Oryctolagus cuniculus: one gene and its partner. The protein of the gene in region 1 purifies or fractionates together with the protein of each later gene. This does not show direct contact. Links are inferred from orthologs where the notes say so. Each region holds a gene or a part of one and is shown on either strand. Other genes may lie near its edges.

Evidence for each region.
Region 2: the proteins of PSMB6 (region 1) and PSME1 purify together in Homo sapiens (affinity purification with western blotting; 3 studies listed by BioGRID and IntAct, with this or other methods). This does not show direct contact. The link is inferred for Oryctolagus cuniculus from reciprocal best matches to the Homo sapiens genes PSMB6 and PSME1.

What each region holds. Positions count from the first base shown.
Region 1 is NC_091448.1:51,426,607-51,430,031, forward strand, and holds PSMB6 (proteasome subunit beta type-6), read right to left. Parts: upstream 2,556-3,425; 5' UTR 2,441-2,555; coding exon 2,339-2,440; intron 1,977-2,338; coding exon 1,909-1,976; intron 1,618-1,908; coding exon 1,486-1,617; intron 1,360-1,485; coding exon 1,230-1,359; intron 1,066-1,229; coding exon 921-1,065; intron 799-920; coding exon 656-798; 3' UTR 584-655; downstream 1-583. UniProt on the Homo sapiens protein: Component of the 20S core proteasome complex involved in the proteolytic degradation of most intracellular proteins. This complex plays numerous essential roles within the cell by associating with different regulatory particles.
Region 2 is NC_091443.1:51,061,295-51,065,035, forward strand, and holds the start of PSME1 (proteasome activator complex subunit 1), read right to left. Parts: upstream 2,593-3,741; 5' UTR 2,545-2,592; coding exon 2,529-2,544; exon of another isoform or gene 2,470-2,528; intron 2,365-2,469; exon of another isoform or gene 2,241-2,364; coding exon 2,104-2,240; intron 1,388-2,103; coding exon 1,355-1,387; intron 1,263-1,354; coding exon 1,200-1,262; intron 1,069-1,199; coding exon 958-1,068; intron 855-957; coding exon 809-854; intron 695-808; coding exon 597-694; intron 345-596; coding exon 276-344; intron 196-275; coding exon 128-195; intron 26-127; coding exon 1-25. UniProt on the Homo sapiens protein: Implicated in immunoproteasome assembly and required for efficient antigen processing. The PA28 activator complex enhances the generation of class I binding peptides by altering the cleavage pattern of the proteasome.

The sequences.
Region 1 (3,425 bases):
ACCATGACCTCTTTTAGGGCCCTGGTTTTAGTCAGGGACAGCTGCAGAGGGCTCAGTGGCCCAAGGGATGGTGGCTTCTAGAGCTGGCCGGAGGTGCTGCCAGTGACTGTCACCCCCTCCAACGTCCACCTGGAGTTCCGTCTACAGACAAGACCCACTTCTCTCCCCCAAGCCAAGGAAGCCACCCGGCTGCTCCTGACCACAAAATGAGGTGACAGAGGCTCAGTCGACTAAGGGGAGGCCGGGGTAGAAGCAAATCCCTCTGGCTTTACCGTCAGTGGTCACCCATGCTGGCTGGCAGGCGGCAGGCGGCGGGAAGGTGACTCCAGCCTCAGAATTCTGAATTCCACCTAAAGCTTAAAACAGGGAGAGGGTGTGGCAGGCACCACAACCTGGTGGTCAGGGACCTGGGTATGGTAGAAGGTTAAGTGTGGAGAAGTAGGTTTGAAGAACATTCATGAACACCCCCCATCTCCTCTCCAACTCCCCTGCAGCTCAGTGCAGGAGTTTATACAAACAGCAGTGAGTCAGACAAGTTTAGGCTTGAGGTCAACAAAAGAATCCCAAAGCAAAGCACAAAGACTCTCTTTGACAAAGTGTTTATTAAACTTCCTGTCTGTATGGCGTCTCTTACTACATCCTAGAATTCCAGGGTTCAGGGGGGTGGTAAAGTGGCAATGGTGAATTTGGGTATCTGGTCTCCCAGAAGCACTTGGCGCTCCACCCCTGATTCAGCGATGGCTGCCAGACGGATCACCCCACCACTGGAGCCGTCCCGCTCCATGGCCAAAGCGAGAGCTGAGGATAAAAGAGAAGGCTGAGTTCAGAGTGAGATCCTGGGGCCACGACGAGGAATGAGGGGCGCTGGCCTGGCTTGGGGAGGGGCTGCAGCTCACAGGCCCTGCAGGCCAAGCACTCACCATTGGCGGTGAACTGCAGACACTCTTCCTTGGTCATGCCTTCCCGGTAGGTGGCGTCCACGTAGCCGTAGATGTACGAACTCCCAGAGCCTCCGATGGCAAAGGACTGCCTCACCATCATGCCCCCCATGGGGACTGAGTACACCTGCCAGATGGACGAAGACAGTCACCGGCTGTATGCTCCCCCCCCAGCACACGTCCACTTACCCGTCCACGTGGGCCTGGGCGGGGCAGAGTTAACCGCAGAAGTGAGGTAGGAGCTGGAGACAGATGGGGAATGGCCAGAGGGGGACAAGCCGGGGCTCTGACCTGCCCGCCTTCTTGAGGGTCCCAGCCGGCGATGATGATCCCTGCCATCAGGTCTTCCCGGTACCGGTAACACATCTCCTTGAAGAGGCTGGCTGCTGTGTGCACCAGGGGGGGCTCATTCAGTTCAATGCTGGCGGGGGGGGGGGGGGGGGGGAGGGTCACAGAGAAAGCAGGGTCAGAACCTAGGAATCAGTCCATTTAGAGTCTTTGGCTCCAACTCCTTCCAGATCCCAGCTCCTCCCCTGCCCATAAGCACCTGTGGAAACCAAGCTGATAGGTGACAGCATCAGCGACTGCCTGGGTATCGGCTGCTGAGCCCGAGCGGCAGCAGAAAATGTGGTCATGGATGGGAGTCAGCTTGTCAGTCACTCGATTGGCGATGTAGGACCTGCGGGAAGACAGACAGTGAGGGCAAAGACCCCACCTGCCTTCCTCCCACCCCAACCCGTTACTCAGGGCTCAAGGACAGGAAACCCAGTATTGCCTATCAGTTCTCATCCAAACCTAAATCAGTTGGAGAACAGATTTCTATAAAGATCTCACCAAGGGTGGGGGGATTGCTTATCTGCAGGGAGAGGAGAAGTCCCTGCCCACAGAAGTCTGTCGAGGCTAAGGGTGGGCTGGCATCGGGGCAGGCGCGGGGGAGGAGGGCCCCTTCACCAATCTGTCCCGCGCTCACCCCGTGGTTGTTCTCGAGTCGGCCCCCAGGACCACGCCCCCGTCGAACTGCACGGCCATAATTGTGGTCTGGGGAAAGGGAAGAAGGAGTGAGTCGGGGTCTTCCCACGTTTTCCACCATACACAAGCTTCAATGGTCGGCTCAGGCCAGCTCCCGGAATACGACCCTCGGGCGCCATCGACCCATTTCCAAATCTCACGGGCGCCTCAACCCCCCGAGGACTACCAGAATTCTAACCCTCCAACTCCAAAGACCCATCCCGGCCTTGACCCCTAGAGCTTCATTCGGCCCGCGAGATGCCAGAACCCCACCACGAACGCACCACACCGCTCTAGCACCCTCCGGATACATCCTCCCGCTGCCCGCAAGCACAACAGTCCGCCTCCCCTCCGCCTTCCTCAGCTCTCCTGAACCCCGACCCCTGCCTCACCCCTGTGGAGACTTCCCGGTTTTCCCAGTCCGGGGCTAGGGCATCTTGCCCCCAAGCCGGTGCCGGACCCGCTCCCCGAGCGGCTACTAAGGTGGCCGCCATCTTCCTCCTCCGGTGCTGCCACAAAGCAACTGTCGTAAAGCGCTCTGTCACTCTCTTTCGTCGCGCTCTTGAGGCCTTCTGGGAGGGAAGCTGCACCGCGGTTGACGGCAGAAGGGAAACGAAAAGTATAGGGACGGGTCTTTTGCGACAGTGAGCACTTGGGGGCAGTGTGGCAAGCACCATGTAGACTAAACGGCGGTCTGTAGAGTAAGCGGCTGAATTTGCCAACGCCGTGCTGGTCTCTTTGGGTGGCGTTGCGGTGCAGTATAAACTCGAGAATCTCTGCGTAGGAACGAGCACACCGTATTTTCTTTTTCTTGAGGATATACTCGTCCCTAGGAGTCCTTGTACATGCTAGAATAGCTGGTTCCTAACACTTTAAAAAAAGACAGCTGTTTCCTACAACCAGCTGCAATATTTTACATATCCTCAAGCAATGTTTGAGGGTCCCACTTAAAAAAAAAGATTTATTTACTTATTTGAAAGGCTGTTACAAAGGTGGGGGTGGGTGAAGCATCTGCTGGTTCACTCTCTATATGGCTGCAATGGATGGAGCTGGGCCAAACCAAAGCCAGGAGCCAGGAGCTTCTTCTGGCTCTCCCACATACAGGGGCCCAAGCACTTGGGTCATCTTCTACTGCTTTCCCAGGCCATAGCAGAGAGCTGGATTAGAAGTGGAGCAGCTGGGACTCGAACCCGTGCCCATAAGGGATGCTGGCACTGCAGGCTGCGGCTTTACCCAATACGCCATAGCGACGGCCCCAAGGGTTCCATTGTCTCTGCATCCTCAGGTACACTTAGTTGATACGGTGTATTAAAAAAAAAATACAGGCCGGCGCCGCGGCTCACTAGGCTAATCCTCCGCCTTGCGGCACCGGCACACCGGGTTCTAGTCTTGGTCGGGGCACCAGATTCTGTCCCGGTTGCTCCTCTTCCAGGCCAGCTCTCTGCTGTGGCCCGGGAGTGCAGTGGAGGATGGCCCAAG
Region 2 (3,741 bases), on another chromosome or scaffold:
CGCATCTCCGCGTTCCAAGAAATACCTGTGGGAATTAGAAGTGTGCGTGGAGTGGGACAAGACGGAGGGCACTCATAGGCCCATGTCCCAAAGCAGAGGGTTTGGGTGTGGGCGGGCGGCCACTCACTTGGATATCTGCGTGTGGAAGCCTTCCAGCTTGGTGTGAAGGCTGGTCATCAGCTCAAACACCTTCTCCTGGGGACGGCAAGTGAGGGCCAAAGTGGAAGGAAGCCGGGACTAGAGATGAGGGCAGGGCAGCAGGGCAGTGCTCTCACCTGGACAGCCACTCCGAAATTGTTGCCGTCCTCAATCCGGGGAATCTGCAGCTGCAACCAGGTGGTGACCTGGGGGAAGGGAAGCGCATCAAAGCCACATCCGGCCCCCCACCCCCACCTGGCCTCCTTGGCCTTGCTTGCTGCCCATGCTGGGTGGAGGTAGGCCAGGTCTATCCTAAGCCTCATGGGCCTAGGCTGCTGACTTCACCGGCTGTGCCCTCCCTTTCCTGCTAAGACCAGGCAAGCGGCATAACCTAACTGGCAGAACCAAGAGGACAAAGGGGTCGACCTGAAGCCAGGGGCGGAAGGAGCAGGGCTCACCAGATTCAGCTTCTCGATGACGTCCTTTATCTCGGGCTTTAGGCGCTGCAGAAGGCCTACAATCTTCTCATTGCAGTTCACTGGGCCACAGGGAGGACCTGGTGAGTGGGCGGTGGGTTACTCACTGCACTGAGCCTGTGCCTGACAGGAGAGCCCCTGCAGGGTGGTGGCCAAGTCCCTGCCCACCAGAGATTTCTTTTTTGTTCAAATACCTTTATCTTCATCATCCTCTTTCTTTTTTTCGTCTTTGTCTTCCTTCTGCAGGGAGAGAGGGGTCCCTGGGAGTCAGACCGCAGGAAGGCAGGTTTTCCCTGCCTGGTTGGGCCCCTCCCCCCCCCCCCGGGGGGGGTTCCCAGCTTGCCCCCTGCTGTTTCTTTCGCTCCTCCTTCTCTTTCTCCTTGGCCGGGTCAGGCATGGGGATGTCCAGGGGGGCCTTCAGGTTGCTCAGGTTGACTTCATTGAGAGCCGGCTCCTGGCAGAGGGTAGGAGGAGAGCTAGAGGCAAGGTGTGTGTGTCTCTCTCGCCTCCTCACTCTCAGGGCCTCGCCCTGACTCCCGTCCTCTGGGCCCCTTAACTCTCCAGCTCCCTGGCCAGCCCCAGTACCTTTAAAAACGCATCCAACTCAGAAATCTTCTTGGGGAAATAGTTCCCAAGCAGGCTCTCGGTCTGTGTGTGAGGTGGGGGTGGCGGAGGGTGGGGGTGAGACTCCGAGTGGTCCCGGTTGGGTCGGAGCTGGGGTGTGGCGGGACGGATCTTACCTTGGCACGCAGGTCTTCACGAAACGCATCCACCTGTGGGGCACAGGCAACCGTTCAGAAACCTGGCTTTAAGGCCGGTTTATTGGAAGGGAGTTCCTCTAGGGTTGTGGCAGGTCTGACCTGGGGAAGGGTGGGGTGTGCTCTCTGAGGCCAGATGGACCCCTGTGCCCGTGGACTGGGACTAAAGGGGTGGACCTCTGCAGTCCCGGGCCCCCTGGGGTTGCATCTGGGGATTGAGAGCACTCCTGGTGGGAAGGGTCTCCAGGGTCTCCTGGGCTATGCTGTGCATGTGAGGAGGGGAGTAGGGCAGCCTCAGCCAGTGGGACCCAGCAGGCACTGAGAAGCCAGGGGCAGGTCCCGCACCAGCCTGTGCCCCCCGCTCCGCGCACGCACTGAGGAGCCAGGGGCAGGTCCCGCACCAGTCTGTGCCGCCCCCCCCCAAGCCCCGCGCAGGCACTGAGGAGCCAGGGGCAGGTCCTGCACCAGTCTGTGTGGGGCCCCCGCCGGCAGGCTTCCCCTCTCCGGCTCTCTGCTTCACTTCACCTCGCTGGACCAAGGCCGCCTCGCCTCTCCCCGAAGGCAGACCTCACCGGTCTCCCCGGGGCTCAGGTGCTGGGAGCACCGAGGCGGCAGGCATGACCGACCCCTACTCAAGTGGGGGCTGGGGGAGGGGGCGGGTCGGGGGCTCCCTCGCCTCTAGGAACCACGTCTCCCTCTAATCGGCCCTTCCTCGACCCCGAGGCGCTCACCTTGGCTTGGGCTTCAGGCTGGACCCTGAGCGTGGCCATGGCAGGGCCGGGGGGGACCTGCTGCCGCACGAGGAGCGAGGAGGAGTGGGCACCGGGAAGAGAAAGCGAAAGCGGCGCTCGCCACCGGCACGGCCTTCCTGGGTAGTAGGGAGTGGAGGGACTGGAGGAGGCGGGGACAGACCAGACCGGGGAGACGGCCGCAGAGGCGGGCAGCCCCGCGGGGCTCCCCCTACAGCTCCCTGTGCCCGCCTGTCCACGCCCCACCTTGCCCCTCCCGCCCCCCTTGTCCCCGCCTCTCCCCCCCACCCCCAACTCCTCCATTGGCCTCTCTTCCGCTGCTGCGCCTGGCACAGGGATGCGCCTTACTCCGTGGGACGAGACCTGGCTGGCCGCTCCTTGCTAGCCTTCCCAGCCAGCGTGGGCACCTGCTCTCGCCGGCATCCTGTGGCCCGACACCCGGACGCTGCTGCTACCCTTCACCCGAGCTGCAGTCCGCTAGGCTTGGCTGCTGCTGCGCGTTCGCCTCTGACCGCCGCAGCTTCCTGTAGACCTCCCACCTGCTCCTCTCCAGTCACCTGCCTTCCTGCCCCCTGGCCATTCCTCCTGAAGGGCCCTTCCCACGGCTCTGGTCATTCAGCTCTCAGTTCAAATGTCACCTCCTCAGAATTAAGATTTAAAAAAAAAATGTATTTATTATATTAGAAAGGCAGAGTAACAAAAAAATGAGAGAGAGAATCTTCTGTCCCCAAATGCCCACAACGGCTGGGGGTGGGCCAAGAGGAAGCCAGGAGCCAGGAGCTTCTTCCGAGTCTCCTACGTGGGTGCAGGGGCCCAAGCACTTGGGCCATCTTCTACTGCTTTCCCAGGTGCATTAGCAGGGAGCGGGATCAGAAGTGGAGCAACCGGGACTCAAACCAGCATCCCTGTGGGATGCCAGCATCACAGACCGCAGCCTAACCGGCTGTGCCACCTCCAGGTGGCCAAATCAGCCTGCTTGAGTACCTTCACAGCATTTCTCTCTCTGATATTAGCTCAGTGTTTTGTTTCAGGATTCCACAAGCTTTTTCTGCCAAGGGTTAGATAATATATATTTTAGGCTCTGTGGGCCTTACAGTGTTGGTAACAACTACTCAACTGTGCCATGGCAACAAGAAAGCAGTCATATGTCCATGAATTAGTGCGGCTGGTTCCCGTGAAGCTTATTTATGGACACAGAAACTTGAGTCCATGTAATTTTCGTGTGTCATGAAATATGATGGTGCTTCAAAAGGTTTGTGGGAAGATGGAATAAAAAAATGTTTCTTTTGGTGCAGAAACCTTTGAAATCCATTAAAGTTTTTCACAGTGTGCTGATTCCCCGTGACGTTTTTGATAACCCCTGTCTGTGTAGATTAAAAAAAGTTGCACCAAAGTAAATATATTTTAATTCCATTTTCCTATGAACCCTTTGAACTACCCTCATACCATATTGTATTATTCTTTGATGTTTTCAGCATAAAAATGGAAAAACCGTTCTTAGCTCACAGGCCATACAAAAACTGGCCACAGGAGGGCAGTGTTTTGCCCATTCCTGGTTTAGACCTAGAGCACCCAGACTGCCTCGGTTTGTAACCCTGCCTCCTCTATGTGGTGTTAGCT